Linked DNA regions of Caenorhabditis elegans. The protein of the gene in region 2 interacts with the protein of the main gene of each other region in a biochemical or structural test. Each region holds a gene or a part of one and is shown on either strand. Other genes may lie near its edges.

What was found. The genes of interacting proteins can lie anywhere in the genome.
Region 1: of the proteins of dlk-1 (region 2) and rpm-1, one has a biochemical effect on the other in vitro, tested with the Caenorhabditis elegans proteins (one study listed by BioGRID).

What each region holds. Positions count from the first base shown.
Region 1 is NC_003283.11:8,814,195-8,821,840, reverse strand, and holds the start of rpm-1 (E3 ubiquitin-protein ligase rpm-1), read left to right. Parts: upstream 1-1,885; coding exon 1,886-2,072; intron 2,073-2,140; coding exon 2,141-2,364; intron 2,365-2,805; coding exon 2,806-3,239; intron 3,240-3,377; coding exon 3,378-3,822; intron 3,823-3,968; coding exon 3,969-4,113; intron 4,114-4,164; coding exon 4,165-7,646.
Region 2 is NC_003279.8:12,567,575-12,579,266, forward strand, and holds the start of dlk-1 (Mitogen-activated protein kinase kinase kinase dlk-1), read right to left. Parts: upstream 5,228-11,692; 5' UTR 5,223-5,227; coding exon 5,171-5,222; intron 4,002-5,170; coding exon 3,855-4,001; intron 3,311-3,854; coding exon 3,151-3,310; intron 3,105-3,150; coding exon 2,607-3,104; intron 2,511-2,606; coding exon 2,361-2,510; intron 2,254-2,360; coding exon 1,944-2,253; intron 1,816-1,943; coding exon 1,434-1,815; coding exon of another isoform or gene 1,399-1,433; intron 1,044-1,398; coding exon 883-1,043; intron 792-882; coding exon 611-791; intron 1-610. Other genes in the region: F33E2.10 (DUF4817 domain-containing protein), read right to left, coding at 10,534-10,628, 10,675-10,755, 10,800-11,631. UniProt on the Caenorhabditis elegans protein: Component of a MAP kinase pathway that functions presynaptically to regulate synaptic architecture and presynaptic differentiation. Phosphorylates and activates mkk-4. Has a role in axonal regrowth following injury and synaptogenesis.

The sequences.
Region 1 (7,646 bases), on a different chromosome or scaffold from region 2:
ATAATTTTCAGTCATATGTGAACTTATTGAGTGCCTTCTGTTTATACAATTTGGATTGTTTAAATAATTATGAAATTTCATTTTTTCGATAAACATTGCAATTTTATTATATTTTTATAACAATAAAAATATGTGAACTTTTTGAACTATTTTGATTGTTTTAAATGGATTTTTTCAAGAGTCTCAATTATTTTCAGAAATTTTTAATAAATTATATTTAACAAAATAGATCAGTATAGACACTCTTGATGAATATCAGATGTTTCAGCAGTTGACAACATTGAAAGACATAACACTAGATCAAAAGTATTCAATTTTAATAGTTTTGGATACGCCACATTAATAAAATAATTTGCTGCAATAAAGTTTTAAAAAAACTTGATAAAATTTGGTGCTTATACGATTAATCACATACGTCACTGTTTACACCTTTCTTAATCCAAGATTTATTTATGTACCTACGTCTATTTTCGAATAGCTGAAAACAACTTTTCTATTTCAGTATACATATTTATATTTCAGATTGTTAATAACACTGCCATCAAACTCTTATAACAGGTAAATTTTAAGGTACTTAATACATACCGTATTTTAGAATATTGTTCAGATATCCCACAGCAAAAAAAAACAATCTGATTTGGATACCTCTCAAGAAATAACAAAAGCTTCTCCAAGCTGGCATATCTAATTTCAAATCTTTTTCCCTTTTTTCCGGACCCACACCCAATTTTCTCCTTCTTCTGTCCTCATCTCCGCTTTTCGACACTTCTCACAGATACACACACAAATACACGCACGGAGCCCTTCTTCTTCGTCCATCTAGGGACACCCGTCCCTTGCTCTCCGTTTCCATCTCCTTGCGTCCTATTTCTCATGTCTGACCGGCTGTCCATTACAAGCGAGTCTGTCTCCAACAAAGACAACACTATGTCTCGTTCTCTTTTCTCCGTTTTGGTTTCATCTCACTTTCTGTGTCTCTCTCACTTCTCTTCCTTTCTCAACAAAACGGGCGCATACCCTTTTACGGGGGGTGGGACCTTCTTCTCTTCGTCTCTTCTATGAATGTCCCTCGATTTTCGCAGATCAGCAAAATGATTCGGACAGGAAACTTAATTTCCCGGAGTTCTAGATTTTGTTCATTTATTTAAAAAAAACGTTTTTGTCTCGGAGAAATATCGTTTTGTGATCGGACAGAACAAGGGATAGGCACGTGGTTTGTGAGCGAACGGAAAACAGTAAAGTCTGTCAATATTGCTTTTGCTCGGCTTTATACTTTTTTATTCCTTGGTGAACAAAAATCTTTCACAATTTTCCCTTTTTCCTCTTTTCTTGTAATTTGGGTAATTTTCATTCAAACGCCTATAATATTTACGATAATTGAAAATTCAAAAAAAATTTCTTCAATTGGAGTTGGATTATCGTACCTAAATTATTCTTGAATAAGCGATCAAAGTAATTTCGCTTTCCTGCTAACTTCATCCGATTTTCTTCATTTTTTAAAGCTGCGATATGATTCGAACCTTTTTTTTGTCAAACTTTCAAATATTTTGTGACAAAAAGTAAGGATAAATGTTAAATTATTGCAATTTTCTTTCAAATCTTAAAAAAATCAAGAAAAATCCCACTGGCGCTACGTTCAAAATCACATCTGCGCATATACTAAGCCTGTGATCTTAAAATTTAGTTATTGTTTCATGGTTTTCTTTTCCTTCAATTTTCCTCATATTTCCTGAATGCACATAATTGCAGAGAAATTGACGCCTCAGAGTTTCTCTGTTATTTTTTTTTCTAAATGCCACAGTTAAATTTTTCAGATCACTAATGATGAGAATCAATCTATCCACAATATTTAACCAATTTTATTAACTTTCCAAAGAATATCCAAATGTCGTTCTTCTTGCGAGAAATTGATGGTGAACGAGTGTGTTCCACGAGCACCGAAACGTCGATTCCTGAAGATAGGAAAAGTGCACGAAGACTGAGAAAATTGCTATACAAATGTGCCGAGAACACATGCAAACCGGATATTCTCAGGGTTCCAGCACATTGCGGGAAACTCGATAAAGAAGAAGGTTAGTATATTTTTTTGTAGTTTGGAGAAGTATAAAATAATAAAAATAAAAATAATTTTTAATTTCAGAGAAATCCAAAACACCTCTGGACCAGCAACAACAAATTAATTTTCATGATATTCTGAACTCAAAATTTGTTGTGGGACCACCTTCGCCTTTTGCTTTAGTAGCAATTGCCAAATCAATTCTTGCACGGTTTGGGAATCCAGAAGAAGTTTCTGAAAAAGAAGATGGAAGCGAAGAGGAAGCCGGAACCAGTGGAGCTGATGAAGAGGGAAAGCAATACAAAAATGTGAGTTTTTATAATGTTAAAAAGTATTAAATGAAAAATACATTGAAATTTCTAATTAAGTTTCAAAGTCAACAGCCAAATTTTTTCTAAATTTTTTTTCGAAACGTAGTTAAGAAGCTTGCAAAACTGGGACATAGGTCGGCAAGGAAACCAGAAAAAACAATTATGAAACCGTGTTTTACACATTGACGATATCCCCCCAGCTAGATTCAAAATTGTTTCCTTTTTAAACGCTAAAAATAGAATATGGTTTGAAAAATAATTATTTGAAATTGAACCGGTGAGTAATAAAACAATTTTGGAATACTAAATTACCATAAATTTCAAAATGGAACTGAACATATAACTCTACAACTTTTTGGAACCCGTGTGTGAAATACTTTTTCTTATTAAAAACTGTTTTAAAAGGTGAAAAATGGTTCAGCTCTCATGAATTTTCAGACTGATCAGCTGGTTGGAGCTAGTTTAACATGTATCTTCGAAGTTCTCGAGCAATTAAGTCGACGTGACGCCGAACTTTGTGTTCAAGCTCTCGAATCATTGTTATCATTGATCCAATCGATGCCAATCGATTGTCTTCAGTCCGAAAACCGTTTATCAATGTCTGCAATGATGCACGTTCTGAAAACGCTTCGAGAAGATGCCTGTCCCTCAGTGAGCTCAAAAGCTACCTCATGCCTTGTGGCTTTATCAGTTGCATGTGGAGAGCCGGAGCATTTAGGAAGCACAATTCGATCATTAATTTGTATGAAGAAAAATATTCGAATGAGCGCCGATTCGACGTATGATATGATCCAAATGCCAGAAAATTTGAGAAAATTACTACTGAAAGTGAGGAGGAAAGCTTTAGGCGGAGACAACACTGCCAATTCCCCGTGAGTATTTTATTCAAGTTGAAAGTATTCAAATATGTAGTATTGTGTTCACAAATTTCTTCTTTTAGTAGAATTTCTTAGAAGCTTGCAAAATCCCATGATAGTTTTATTAGTATTTTATTAAATGCAAAATTTCAGACCAAACTGGGCAATGGTAGATGTTCACGAGCACTCGGTAGCAAGCAGTTTCAGTCTACCTAGTCTTCCTGATAGCTCTCCGTCTTCCGACACTCCCGACGATGACAATCGAATACATAGCACAATGGCATGTGATGGAACATTTCTCTACATTCTTAATTATGTTGGACTCTACAAGTTGGGGACCGGCCTGAATGAAACAATTTCTGGAAAGTTGTATGCAGCGAATCAGAGTTTACAATCGTCGAAAAATGTGCAAATGTATTTATGCAATGGATCATTGTATTTACGAAGAAATTACTCATCATGCATATCAGTGATTGACACGGATTCATTGTTGGATATTGGAGAAGTGATTCTACCACCAAGTTGTGTACAACATGCACTGTTCACGGATGGAACATACTTTTACAGTGCAACTCTGATTGCCAATTCTACACTATCGGTAGGATTTATTCTCTCAAATTAAAAATTAAGATATTTAATTGAAACTATTTTTAAACACTTTTAATCGTGAAAATTCTACTTATTGTTAGAAATAAAAACACATAACATGACAGCTCAAAAAAGTTTATAAATAACATATTTCAGACAATTCAACTAAATGATTCATTTTCCCCTTCCAATGAGCCATCATCACGAAGAAGTCATCGACTCACTGATGTGAAGTTCACGATTCAAGGAGATCTTCAAGTTCCTCACCAACTCCCCGAATTTCTACCTGCAAACCTTCATCGTAAGAATAGTAGTTTTGTTTACATGGAAATTTGAACATATCAATTTTCAGCTCAAACTGTTGATCTTCACTTCACTCGAGAAATGGCATTCATTCAAGCTCGCTCTGGAAAAGTGTACTACGCTGGAAACGGGACAAGGTTCGGATTATTTGAAACTGGGAACAACTGGATGGAACTGTGTCTTCCCGAGCCAATAGTTCAAATTTCTGTTGGAATTGATACAATAATGTTTCGTTCTGGTGCAGGGCATGGTTGGATTGCAAGTGTAGACGATAAGAAAAGAAATGGAAGACTACGTCGACTTGTTCCATCTAATCGCCGGAAAATTGTTCATGTTTGCGCCTCTGGTCATGTCTATGGATATGTATCTGAAAATGGAAAGATTTTCATGGGAGGACTTCATACAATGAGAGTGAATGTTTCAAGTCAAATGTTAAATGGACTGGATAATGTGATGATTTCTTCATTAGCGCTTGGAAAATCTCACGGTGTTGCTGTGACTCGAAATGGCCATCTTTTTACATGGGGATTGAACAATATGAATCAATGTGGAAGAGTTGAATCAACTTCAACCACGTCTTCTCCAAGACATTCCGGTCGTCAAGAGTATCAGATTTGTCCTATCGGAGAACACACGTGGCTAACTGACACACCCTCGGTATGTGCTCAATGCGGGCTTTGCTCCGCACGAGGAGTAGCATGTGGAAGAGTTCCTCGACCAAAGGGAACCATGTGTCATTGCGGTGTTGGAGAGTCAACATGCCTTCGATGTGGACTTTGCAGACCATGTGGAGAGGTTACAGAACCAGCACAGCCTGGTAGAGCTCAGCATGTGCAATTCAGTTCAACAGCTGCTCCTCAAAGAAGTACTCTACATCCGTCACGTGTAATTTTAAGTCAAGGACCTCATGATGTAAAAGTTTCAAGCGTAAGCTGTGGAAATTTTCATACAGTACTTCTTGCATCTGATCGAAGAGTTTTCACTTTTGGATCCAACTGCCATGGCCAATTAGGAGTTGGAGATACACTTAGCAAAAACACTCCGCAGCAAGTCATTCTTCCATCTGATACAGTTATAGTCCAAGTTGCCGCTGGTTCAAATCACACAATTTTGAGGGCAAATGATGGAAGCGTTTTCACATTTGGTGCATTTGGAAAAGGTCAGCTAGCACGACCAGCTGGCGAGAAAGCTGGATGGAATGCGATCCCTGAAAAAGTTTCTGGTTTTGGTCCTGGATTCAATGCATTCGCTGGATGGATCGGAGCCGATGGTGATTCTTCAATCATCCATAGTCATACAGCTTTATTATCTTCTGATAATATTCTGAAAGCTCAAATTGTTGCAAACAAAACGAATATTTTCATTTTCCCAAGAGAAGTTGGTAAAGACTACATTGTAATAAGACGAAAGTTGAATGTTTTTGAACATCATGCGAGCGATTACAAATGTTGGTATACATCATGGGCCACTGATCCGAAGTATGACATGCTGTGGTATTACAATTCAGCAGAAATGGAAATCAAAGGATATGACATTTTCAAAAAATCTGAAAAATCTGTGGGCGATGCATTTGATTCCCTAACTTTCCTAGCTGGTGCCGAATTTGCTGTCCAAGTGTACGACAGTCCTGCTTATGCAACTTCGATGAGTCTTGGAATGCAACTTTTATCAGCAACATTCTCAGCAAATGTTATCAATTTATCTGAATTCTGGAAGGAAAAACATGGGGAACGAGAACAGGATCACGAGAAAACAATTATGGATGGTTATTCAGTTGCAAATCGATTTGATGGTACGGGAGGTGGTTGGGGATACTCGGCAAATTCTGTTGAAGCTATCCAATTTAAAGTCTCCAAGGAAATTCGATTAGTAGGAGTTGGGCTGTATGGAGGACGAGGAGAATACATATCGAAGCTCAAGTTATATCGACAAATTGGAACAGAAGCTGATGAGTTATATGTGGAGCAGATCACTGAGACTGATGAAACAGTTTATGATTGTGGAGCACATGAGACTGCAACTCTTTTATTCTCACAACCAATAGTTATTCAACCAAATCATTGGCATGTAGTCAGTGCAAAGATAAGTGGTCCTTCTTCTGATTGTGGAGCAAATGGAAAACGTCATGTCGAGTGCGATGGAGTAACATTTCAGTTTCGAAAATCTGCTGTGTCAAACAATGGAACTGACGTAGATGTTGGACAGATTCCGGAGCTGTATTATCAAATTGTCGGTGGATCTGAAAGTCGTGACGAATCGGATTCGAATAAACAGCTGTCAATCAGTAGAGACATGTCAAATCTCTTTTCACCTGCTGCACTGAAAAATGTCACAGCGGAAGGAATTGGTAATTTGCTGATACTTTTGGAGTGGGCTTTACAACGCGTTCAAATTGATGAAGATACAAACAATCAAGTTGAAGGAAGTGCTGAAAATCAATGGAGTCAGGAAAGAGCAGGATTTGTTGCTATTTTAAGCATGAAGCTTATATCAAGATTCGTAAGAACAGTGTACAAAGAGAAGGGATGTCATGATGAACCAGGAATTGATTTTGCTAATAAGTTGGTAAATCTGCACTCAATGCTCTTAGAATTCTTCTTTTCAACCGATATGACTGGATATGAAAATCGTCCATTAATTAAAAAAGAAGAAAAGGTTGTTGAAGAAGGGTATACTCTGATGAAGTGTGTGTCGGAAGCGGTTAAGCTATTCATTTCTCTTTCTCACTGCTTTATGGGATCAAGAAGTCTCATGAATGCTCATCTTATCGCTGTCATGAACAAAGGAAATCATGAAGCTTTGATCCTAACATCTGCAATTATTGGATCCCTTGCTAAAATTGAACGGTTTGCTCATCAACTTCTATGCTCGACTACCACAACTGAAAGATTTCCAATGCTGTCATCACTTCTTCTGAAACATTTCAATTGTGAGAAAGAAACACTCGCGTCTCTCACTTCATTTCCAAATATTCTTCGATTTCTTTACGATCAAACTTTTATGAGAAATGCGTACGAAAACACGTCAAGTTTGGCTGAGGCCATTTTGGTCAAGGTATCGAGAGATCTTGCCATTCCGACAGATGATACTCTTATGGGACCAGTAGTACATCAAACTTCGTCGAGGTTCAGAAGAAGAAGTGCACAACCTACTTGGGATATGTCTGATGGATGTGCAGATGCAATTGCTTTTAGAGTGGACTCCGAAGGGATAAAATTACACGGTTTTGGAATATATCTTCCAACTGAACCAGACCGACGGAATTTCGTTGGAGAAATAATGATGTTGTCTCCAGATTCATCTGAAAAATGGACATGCCTTCTTCGGGTTACTGCTGAAATGTCGTCTGAAGAAAAAGAAGTTGGAATTGTTAGATTTCCAGAATATGTACTTCTTTCTCCAGGTGTCACTTACGCTGTCAAAGTTAACATGATGAAAAATACAAAGACATTCTGCGGAGAAGGTGGAGTCACTCAAGTGCATCTACTCAATGGAGCCCGCTTGTTTTTCTCAGGATGCTCAATGAGCCAA
Region 2 (11,692 bases):
AATTTTAAAACAAAAATTACTGCGAAAACTTAAAAACTGTCGGAGTTATGAATTTTCGAAATATTTTTGCATATCTTTTTTTTCCAAAAAATTAACTTTTCTGCCTAAACTTCCAAATATTTAGAGCTAATTTTTATTACATAAAAATTTCCAAAAAAAAAGAGCATTTAGAGACGTATAACCCTGACTCCGCCCATTTTGGGTCTCGAAGCGAAAATTAAAGTTTTAGGTCAAAACTTAGAAAACCAGCCATGATTATACTCAAATGAAAGCTCTGAATTTTCCATGAAAATTATGAATTTTCCGAAAATTAGGATCTTTAAGGGTAGTTTAAAGTTACTGTAGAAAATTTTAAAAATTTCGAAAAATTCCGAAAAATTTTTTAATTTTTAAAATTCCGAAAATTTTTGAAAATCCATAACTCTGTCAATTTTTGGTATTTTCAGCTCAATATTGCCTAAAAATGAAGATAAACTTTTAAACTTTTTCGGAAAACCAAATCGATCTCTAGCTACAGTACCCCTTTGTGGTGGGAACTAACTAAAATAAAGAAGTCCCATGCAAAAAAAAATATTAGAAAACTCAGAAAAAGGAAAGAGCATGCACATACGAGAGGAGCAACTGATCACACCGTGTGGGACACGTGACGGGCTGTCACGTGTAAAGAAGACGGGCTGTCCGGGGACTGCAGTTGACTTGTTGACTGACGTGGAGACCCTCCGACGTGAAGCTATGCGCCCGTCCGACCAGCGACCGTCACCGTTACGGTACAGAGTTTGGGAGTAGCAAACCTGGAAAATTTGAGGAAAATCGATAAACTTTGAGTTTAAAAAAATCGAAATTTTTCGAAATATTTGTGCCAAAAATTAATTTCCTCCTCACCTGTTGTCCTCCACCATTAATAGCTGTGCAGCTACCGGCTCCAGCGCTCCACATCCCGGAATCCTGAGAAAATCCGGAATCCCTGGCCGGTGATCCACGGGCCCCACCCAGCGTCTCCCAGTAGGACCCTGAATGACGTATGGCGTCGTTGCGTAGGATTTCTGAAATTTTTCTATTTTTTTTAAATTGAGGGGACCAAGAGCTTTTAGAAATGTATAATCATGTCGAGGTTTTTGGAAACTTGATTTTTTTGCAAAAAATTGAGGTCTCCCCGCGGAAATCCCGTGGATAATGTAGCCAAGTAGTTATAAGTGAATCAAATATTTTTGCCAAGTTGTTCATTAACTTTGCTATATTTTGTAATACATTTTTTGGAATAATCTTAAATTCTAACGAAGTTATGAATTTTCGAAAAAGGTCTAGAATTTAGATAAGTTGAACTTTGAAAATATTTTGAAAATCCACAACTTTTTCAGTTTTTAAGATTTTTCCCTGATTTTTAGCTTTGTCGAAAGCTTAAATGTTCAATTTTTCAGGGAAAATATACTCACTTGGCGGATTCGCTCCCTCGCTTCTCCTCGTTTGCTGTCCAGCACTGCTCCGGCTCGAGCTTTGCCTTGAGAACGGAGAGCTCTGAACTCCTGACGAGGAGCTCGTATTGGAGCACCTATACGGAGATCCTCGGCACGGTTGAACATCTTCGTCAGACGACATATCATCATATCCCTCATTCGGGTATCCACGTAGCTGTGCTCGCGGAGCCGCCACTGCCTTCGGGCTGTTCTGATTGTGCCACTGCTCCCGTTCAGTCAGATCTTTTTCCCACTCGGCGAGCTCACTTTCCTTGAGTTTCAGCTCTGTGAAGCAGCCTTGGAGTTTGTCATACATTTTGTTGGTTCGTTTAAGCTTCATCTCGTACATATTTCGGATGTCCTGGAAGAAATTGGAGTTTTAGGTTTACAATTAGGCTAGTTTCAGGTTTGGTCTTAGGCTTAACTTTAGGCTTAAACTTAGCTTTTAAGCCTATAAGCCTAGTTAAAAACTAATAGAATATTTCTAACCTTAATATGATTCAATTGCTCATGCCGCTTCCTCTGTATTTCCTCCTCCATCGCAAATGCGCTTTTCGGTCCACCATGATCCCTGGTTACTGTAGACGGATACTGTATACATTTCGCGAACTCTCTGTAAGAATCCCATGCCAACTGCCACTCCTCTTCAGTCATTTCGAAAAGTTCCGGCTTGAAGATCTCCCAGTGTTGTCGGATGTGGGAGAATGAGGGACGATTGCGACCTTTTTGAGATAGACATTGCTTGATGAGAAGTACAAGACCTTTCGGAGCTTCTTCTGGCATTGGAAGGCTCAGAATGCTGAAAATTAAAAGGTTTTTAGGATTATTAAAATGGTTTTCTGGACATTTGGCTATTTGAATCTTCAGAAAAAAAAACAGAAAATCAGGGAACAAACTACAACTCACTTTGTTCCAACACCAAAAATGATTGCCATCTGAGCAATATTTGCGTATGGCGTCTCTCTGGTGAGCATCTCCCAGAGCACAACTCCAAATGAGTAGACGTCGACTTTTTCGTTGCATGGCTGTTTTTTTATCATTTCTGGGGCCATCCAGCTGAAAATGTTGAAGTTCATTACAACCAAGCTTAGGTCTAAGATTAAGCCCAAGCCAAATTTAAGAACCCTAAGCCTAAGCCAAGTTCCAACTTACCTAACAGTTCCACAGAATGACATCATAGTACTATCCATTTTCTTTTGCATATGAGACGTTCCAAAATCACAAATTTTAATTGAATCTTCAGCGGAGATTAGAATATTGGGCGATTTGAGATCCCTGTGGATCACTTTGTTCTGATGCAAATAGTGCATTCCATCAGCAATTTCCTTAACCCATTGAGCAAAAAGTTCTCGGGTTATTGTATTTCTTGACTTCAATACAGTACATAGTTGTCCTTTTGAGCAATATTCCATCACTATACAGTAGCACGGGCTCTTTGAGCAAACTCCGAGAAATTCAATGATATTCTGGTGACGGAGATGTCGAAGATGCTTGATCTCGGTCTCCTTCAGTTGATTGACCTTTTTCACAGCGACAGTTCGGTTTTCCAGCTGACCACGAAACACTGCTCCCTGGCTCCCGGAGCCCAGCCATTCAAGTTCGGAGATAGCGTCGAATGGGATCTCCCATAGTTCATCCTCGGATTTTTCACTGGAAAATTGAATTTTCAATCAAAAAAAAAATATTTAAAACTCACATTTCAACTGTAGTTTTAGTCCCGAAATATCCAAAAACTGGCTGAAAACACGAAAAGAGCCCATTCCTAAGCTGTCCGAGCCCATCTGCGTAGAAGCTGTTCAGGCTGGGTTTCGACGCGTTCCCGGTCGCAGCCACCATATTTTTGGGATCTGGGGATCCTGAAAATTTTGAATTTTTAGTGGAAAAAGATCACGTTTTCTTTAGTATATTTTGATGGAAATGTGCGTATTGTTTCGCTGAATCAATATGCAGTCGGCAAGTGATAAGAGACAGTGTGGGAATGTGAGAGAGTACAGAGAGATGTCAGAGAAAAAAGTGACGTGTGTGCGGGAAGCGGTGGGGATGAGAAAATACACATTTGGCGGTTTTTTTTGCAAAAAAAATTTGGAGATGGTAGAACACGAGGGAAAGGATCGTCGCCGAGGAATGCGCAAAGGCACGAGAAAAGCGCCAATGAAGTTGCTGGCGCATTTATCGTGCATTGACGTATTTTTGTCTATTCGTAGATCAAGTGATTTAGCGCATTTCTCGACAGGGGACAATTGTTGAAAATCAGGAGGAAAGGCAGCATAACCGCGCCGAGGCACAAGAAAAGCGCAAAGAAGTGCTGACGCATTTTCAGTGCCTTAACGCACTTCTAGTGTTTTGGCGCAGATCTCGTGTTTTGGCGCTTTCCTAGTGCCTTTGCGAACTTCTACTTACCTTCTTTCTGTCCGAACTCCGCGTTCGCCTGCTCCCGATGCTGTATCGGTGTGTTTGGAGCACTTTGTGTCACAAGCTCCGACCCATCCGGACTCAGGACTACTGTAGAGAAGTCGGAGGACTCCGGTGCAGGACCCGGTTGTTCTTCTGAAAAAAAGGAGTTTAAAGGGAAAAGTTCGTTGGATCGAAGAAAAACAAAAAGTTCAAGTGTATGTATTTACTGCCGCGCGCACATTGGCCTGGTGGCGCCATATTGCGATTTTTCACTCTGGTTTTCTCTATGTCTCTCTTTGCTGTGATTCATCAGAAACAGTTTTTGATCGGCAAAATATTTTTTGAAAATTTTTATCCCAAAAAATTCATTTTTAAGGTGCCCCTTCCCTCTGCAAGAGCAGCGATTTCGCAAGTGCCTTTCCGGGTCCCTTGAGCTACACGTCTGACTCATTTTGGCTAGAGCAGCTCAACGGGTCCCTCTTTGGCTCATTGACGTCACGCGAGTCGTGGAGCACACGAAGCACAACAAAAATAGAGTCATGCCATTCGAGGCGACAACAGGAGACGCAGAGAAGCAGAGAGCCGGGCTGGGCACTCGCGGAGAGGGGTTAATTAGTTTGGGAATGAGGCTTAAAATAGAATTTGGAACTTTAATCAAGACAACTTGAGAAATACAAAAAAATAGCCGTTTTTACCTTAGAAACTCAAAATTTCAGCTAAACCTTTGCTTTTATTGTATGTATGTTTTGATGGAAAACTGATGGAAAACAACTATTTTTTTGCCATTTTCGTCTAATGTTGTCAAGTTTTATACGAACGTTTGTCAATTTGTAGCCAAAAAATAAACATCAGTAGTAGTTTTGGGTAAAAATTTGGTAAGTTTTGATCTAAAAACGACAGTAATTTTGCTCAAACAGCCCATTTATTCTGCAAAATTATCTAAAAAGTTATGCAACCTATCTATGACTTATGCCCATAAACCTATAAAAAACATCATATGGTCAGAGAATTACTGATAATAAGGCGTCGCCGTCGTCTCACTATTTGCATTCCCCGTAAAAACTTCCACGTGGCTTACGCGACGTCGATTTGCCGGCGGCGGGGCCGTGTCTTGGAGAAAAGCGCGGAGACGCAGATATGTCGGGGGTATGGGATGAGGGGTTTAACGTTAGGTCAAAATTGTGTTCCACGTGGAAAACACTAACTCAAAACAGCTGAAACTTAAAGCTAGCAATAGTCAGTCGATGCACCATGATTTTGGAACCCCCAAGTTTGATTTGCGCCGTAAATCGATGCACCATGCCCCCCCACAAAAATTGTACCTGATGTTGGTGTGACCAAGTCGAGAGTGGTTACCATTGTGGTAGATGTCATTTTATCTGAAAAAAATAGTTTTTTTTAAGCTTGGCAGTCAAAAAAGGTAATTGCAAAACGGACAAAATCAATGTTGTATCGGAATTGAGGACGGATGACGTGATGCGTATGAAGAGAAAGGGAGAGGATCCGGGGCGATCATGCGCGGTGTACAGGAATTCAAGTCGTCGTCTTCTCTGGGGCGAAACTATAGATCAGTTCAAAAATTTTGAGATTCGAGACGAGATGAGTTCAACTCTCCACCACGGGAAAATTTTTTTGCAAATTTTTTCGTTCCAAAAAAAAGGAAAAAAAAAAGATCCAGAAAAAAACAAACAAACATTTTTGTCGCAGTCACCGAGGACCTAGGTCACACAAAGCTTCTTATTTTTACGAGCAACACCTGAAACTAAATCAGTCGTAAGGCCCTAGATTTATAACGTTAGTACTCACATAAGTTTCTGGGGCAAACTTTCTTTGCAGGCGACTCTTGTCTGCTCTCTTCCTCATCATCAGCAAGGTAGTCATTAGCAAGATAGTCATAAGCAAACTTGGCAGCCCACACAAGCTATCGGATAAGTGTCAAGAGACATTGGAGTTCAAAAAGTGGCTCTGATAGAGCACATGACCCGGTAGATAGACGAAAAGTTAGTACTAGGGAACCTTAGTTAGTACTAGGGTACCTGTTATGAGGCACAGGGGTCTGGATTTCCTCATTGCAGTTTTGCGCTCCATTGACAATCGTCTGCCGGACAACGCGTGGGAAAGTCGCGTACACCATACGGGCAGGTACATTTTTTTACAACTAAAACCGAGCCGCTACGCGATACGCAACGCGCCGTAAATCTGTTCCAGATATGGCCGAGCCAAAATGGCCTAGTTCGGCAAACTCTTGCATTTTAATTTATGAGGGAATCCCGAAAAAAAAACAAAGTAAATTTAACAAGCACTTTTATATATGTAGTTAGTTTTTGAAGCTAAATACTCCTTACAATTAGTTCCCCAAAACAGTAAGGTTGCCTAGATTACGGTGTACCCCCTGCCGGAAACTGTACCTCCAAAATTGAATCTAAGTAATGTTGAACCATATAACCTATCTCTGTTGTCAGTGGGGCACGAGGAAGACCCCTTCCCTCAACCCCATCGGGAGGCCCCCTATAAACACAAAAAATGACAAATTTCTACAGTGAGTTAGCGAGAAGACTCTCTTATCAGCAAAAAAAAATAAGAACTGAGCAAACCGATAGTAACATTTTCAGGGCGTGGCGGTGACCGTAATCGCGGGAGTCACATGGAAATAACTATGAATTTTCAGATGAGGGTGCCTGGCTCCATGGCAGGCGTGCTCCGTTGCCATGCTACCTCGCCACACACACATACACAAACATCTCAATCGGAAGCTCACTTTTTGAATGCTCTAAGAAGAGGGAGGAAAACGACCGGAACATGAGAAGAAGAAGGGGAAAAGGAATAAAAAGTGGTAGTTGAGAGGGAGTGAAAAAGGGATTATAATTGTGGGGGTGGTGGAAGGGGGTGAGGGTCAAAAATCTTTACTCGGCTGAAAATCCTTACTATTAGCCCCCGTTTTATTCGAAAAATATAGTATTGTAAATAAAAATAAGAACGAGTAGCCACTGCGTCATCACCTATTTGAGTTAGTGCGTCAATGTGATAAAAATAGAAATTATGAGGGAGAGAGAGAGGGTAGTATAACTTTTGAGTCGAGAATGTTGGCGAGAAGAATTGTTATAAAAAAAACTACTAAAAAGTGTTCAAGGAGGAACACTTTTCCATAACTCTGGCCACACCCCAACTTGGCTAGAGTTTTGCCGGTAGTGAATGACCGGTAGGGTGATAAAGGACAGTTCACCTTAGGGGCCGAAAGGGGCCTAGGGTTTTTGGGCCTGCACAAAAGCTTTTGCGGAAGGCATAGCTCAAACCTGTTGAAACTAATAAAATCTTGAAATAAATGAACTTTGTTATCTGAATAATCCAGTGAAAAAGATCAACAAGTATATTGTTAGTTGGATGTAGGTCCATGATCGCGTAAAAATCTAGGTGGCTATAATAAGTTTAGTCTTTCCAACGCTGAACCCCTATCGTATATAATTGCTCAAATTACATGGCTCAAAAAAAATGGAAAAAGAACAAGAAGCCACTACGTCATCACAACATTGTTGCGATAAAACTGGAGGGACATGATGATGTTTCAGGAAACAAAGTATATTGGGTCTAGAATTTTAAATTTTACAGTGCTTAGCTTGTCTGAAAAAGGTGCGGAATTTCTGGGCAAGCGCCTAGAAGTGCGTCACAATTTTTCCCATAAAAAATTCCCGCATTTTTTGTAGATCAAACTGTATTGAGACAGCCTGACACCACGTTCTCGAAAGGTTATTTGGTTTTTAAAAATGTTATACGCTTCAATTTTCACCTAGAAGATCCTCACGTCAGAGCTGAGTCTCTCTAAAAAAAGTGATTCTAATTGTAAGCCTAGCAACCCAGTTTTCTTCCACAAAAAAAAAACGACAATGAATTGTTCTAGAGAATCACCTCACCGTCTGCGTCTCCCTTGGGTGCCCGTAGAGGACGATCACCTGTTTGTATGAGAGGGGCAAACGTGTGTCTTTTCTATTCACCCGTCGTCGCTCTACATGTTTGAATTACTCATCAATGCAATTTTTGATTGAAAAGAGGTACTAGGCGAAGGAAAGTGAGCATTGGTTGTTATTATTAGATTATTAAAGTATGGAAAATGTTAAAAATTTGTCAGTGGAGAGATTTTTTTCGAGAAGGGCTAGAAAAATTATGAGGAAAGTTAAATTACTGATAGCGAAATAAAGATTGAAGAACTACTGGAGAATGAGCACATTTCGACCTTTCAGCCCATTTCCAAAGCCCCTAGAGAAGCATAAAAATCGATTGCCCAGCCGCGTCACACAAGAAAATGACCACCAAAAAGTGTCGTGCCTCAACGTCTTCTGGACTAGAAAAAAGCGAAAAAAAAGATGAGGAAAAATGTGGAGAGATGGGAGAATGAAATGAGGGAAGCGATGGGGGGAAACCGCCGCGGGGGCCCTTCCACGCTTCTTCTCTGCGTCTCTCCAAACGGCGGTCTCTTGAAGTTTTCTTGTTGTCTCTGCCTGACCACACGTTTGCGAACTCCCGGGCCGCCGCTTGAACTTGAATCAGGTAGTTTTCGGAGGGGATGAGAGAACAGGTGGATCAACAAGCGAGGCCATTGGCAGCGCGACGGAAATGGATTTTTTCAAGGTTTGCAAGTTTTGTTTGGAAAATGCAGACGACTTGGCGCGAGGTATTTGAAAAGTGATAAGGTTTTTTTCCCGGAAAATTGGTCACAATTTGCAGAACTGACTCATTATCAGCACATTTTAGTAACGATTTTGCCAAAAACTATGTAAATGCACTTGGAAATGCATATGACGCTTCTTGAAGTTCGTATTGTTTGCTTATTGAAGGTTCTCGTAATTTTTGAGGTCCCCAATGTTCTTTACTGGCCTTAATCAATCTTCTACAACCTGGCTACTCCAAATTGGTCCGCCCTAGGAACCGAACGGTACCTTCCGGTGTCACTGTTTTCCCGCCATTCACAGTGACGAATCTCATCGAAGATTGATGATATCTTTGACAGTTCTCCGAGGCAAACCGGTTTTAAAAACACATTGGAATTACGAAATCGGAGCGTAAAGAGTAGAAGATGAAGGAAACAAGTGAGGAGATTGATATGAGAAAAGGAGAAAACGATTAACAAACGCGCTAATTCTAACACTGGAGACAGGGATTAAGGGTGAGGAGAGAGTTGCTAATTCAAGCAATACTTGGGTAGAAGCCGATAACTGGACGGGAAAATTTTTTTTCATCAACTAGTAAAAAATTGCACAGAATCCTATTTTGGCATTTTTTAAAAACTATTTTTGAATTGCATTTTCTCAAAGGTAACAAACTTTTTCTCATATAGAAAATTTGGGTCAAATTGATTGATCCAATTGGTGGGCGGCAATTGTTGTTAGGCAAATTTTTTTTCGATAAGTTCGGCAAATCGGCATATTGCCGGTTTGCCGATTTGTCGGAAAATTTCAATTCAGACATTGCCGGTTTGCCGATTGTTGGAAATGTTTAGAGGGATTTTTTATAAGACGGCAACACTTAAAACTGTGCCTTTTTGAAATTTTTATCTCGTTATCTTTAGATATTTTCATAGAATTTGTTTGTTTTCAAAATAGCTGTAGAAACATTTGTGGAATTCGTACAATTTTGCCGATTGAAATTGAAATTCTGAAATTACAAAAAAAAAGTGCAAAACCACAATTTGCCAAAAAATTTTTGGCAAGTGCCGGAAATTTTCAATCCCGGCAATGCGCCAATTTGCCGGGAACTTTTAATTTCGGTGATTTGCCAATTTGCCGGAAATTTTAATTCTGGCAATTTGCCGATTTGCTGGAAATCTTCAATTCCGGATATTTGCCGATTTGCTGGAAATTTTCAATTCCGGCAGTTTGCCGATTTGCCGGAAATTTTCAATTCCGGCAATTTGCCGATTTGCCGGTTTTGGGCCCTAGGTCATTGTCAGCTAAAGTCCAAAAAAAAACGAGAGAACGGATTATAACTGGCATAACTAGTATAAGATTATCATAATCTGCTGCCAAATTATATCTAAAAGGTTTTCAACCTAACTCCCACGAAAAAAAGAGTAATTGTTTGCTCCAATATTTGCTTAGAAAATATCTCTTATCACATTTAACAATTTCGCAATCACAGCGGCGAAAACACAAATAAGTGTAAAGATTTCCGAGAACTGAAGTTGCAAAAACGGATAGAAAGCCCGGCCAGGAGGGAAGTGAGGGGGTGAGGCAACTGTTGCCATGAAGAAAATAATGATGAGTCAAGTGATTTTTCGCAGGGACCATTGACAAGCGAGCACAAAGACCGGAACCGGTGCATAATGCTCAGGGTGGTCTTTGTGCTTGAATGTCAATGGTCCCTGAGTTCCAGGTTCCTGTCGGAAGGTGAAGCCCGGGAGCCCCTAACTTTGAGCAAAAATACAGGATAAGCTCTCTGAAAAACAAAGTAGAAAAGCTGTTCTTGTGTTCCGGGCGGGAGAACCAACCGACTAGATAAGCTTTCTATGAAACCATGAAGAGAAGCATTCTGTCAAGAATCTTCGAGTAACTTTTTGTTTATTGAAAAGAGTTCACAGACTTTAAGATGTAAAGATTAAAATAGAGGTAGTGGAAAAATGTAAAGCGAGAATATTAGGTCCAGCGATTATAGAAAAATTACTCTGCAGTACAAGCAGAAACTAAATTGAACTCTTTTACTCCACCAATTCGCCGGGTGCGCGTGCTGATTCGGCGACGGCCGAGTCTGCGATTGACTCGAGATCCGAGAAGGAGTCCGCCATGGCGATTCCTGCAATTTTTGATGAAAACTTTATACTTGAAATGATGAAACTTACTTGGCACGATTTCGTTAGCTTCATCAAGGATCTCATCGGGGATCTGGGGTGGAAGGACCAGTGGGAGACGGAGCTTGAGTGCTGAAATTTAACAAAATTACAGAGGTTCACATACAAAAGCTCACCGAAGAAAATGGAAGTGGTACTTTCCATTTTGTTGCACTTGCTGCAGAACTCTTTCCAGACCTCTCCGGTACGATTGTTGAAGTTCAAGTGGACAATTTTCTGATGTGTCTCGTCAAAGCCCACAAGCACTCTTCTGCGAAGGCGGTGACAGTCCACACCGTACGACTCCTGAGTGTGAGTCACATCATCACAAGGGAAACGGCGACGTTCGAGCCAGGTGAGCTCAAAAGCCTTTCGGCAGATCTCGATATGATTGAAGCTTCTCGGGCGATTGATGTCACAGATGATCTCATCGGTGATGCTTCTCATCAGGTAGCAGATGCCAGCCAGGTACGTGAGGCCATTGTAGTTGAAATAAGTCGCCTGGACTCGGTCAGAGATCAGATGGTAGGTCAGGAATCCCTTAGCTTCCTGGTCGATCGGCTCGAAGTTGAATGAGTCTCCCCCAGCGAGGAAGTTCTCGGCGGCCACTGAAACTGTGATGGCGTTCATAGGGATCACGTAGCCCCTGAGACTGTCATCCTTCAACACAAAATGGATAAGCTCATGACCAAGCTTGTAATCCTCCGCTGGCACGGGAGCCATCGGGTTCTCCGTGCAGTTGAATCCAACAATCTCATGAGCCATCCATCTGGTTGCCGTCTTAAGGATCGGCCAAAAGCGGGGATAACCGAGCACAGGATGTTCCTCGTGAGGCTTCTCGGCGTTGATCATGATGATCTGAGTTTGACTCGCCTTGTTGCTAAGTTCAACGGGCGGCTCGTAGGGAAGAGCATCGGTAGTAGAGCTCCTGTTGCGCAAGGCGTTGAGGCAGAAGATATTGGCGAACATCGAGAAAGGAATAATCACACTTGTGAATGAATGAAAGTTAAAATGATAAACTTATAGAGTG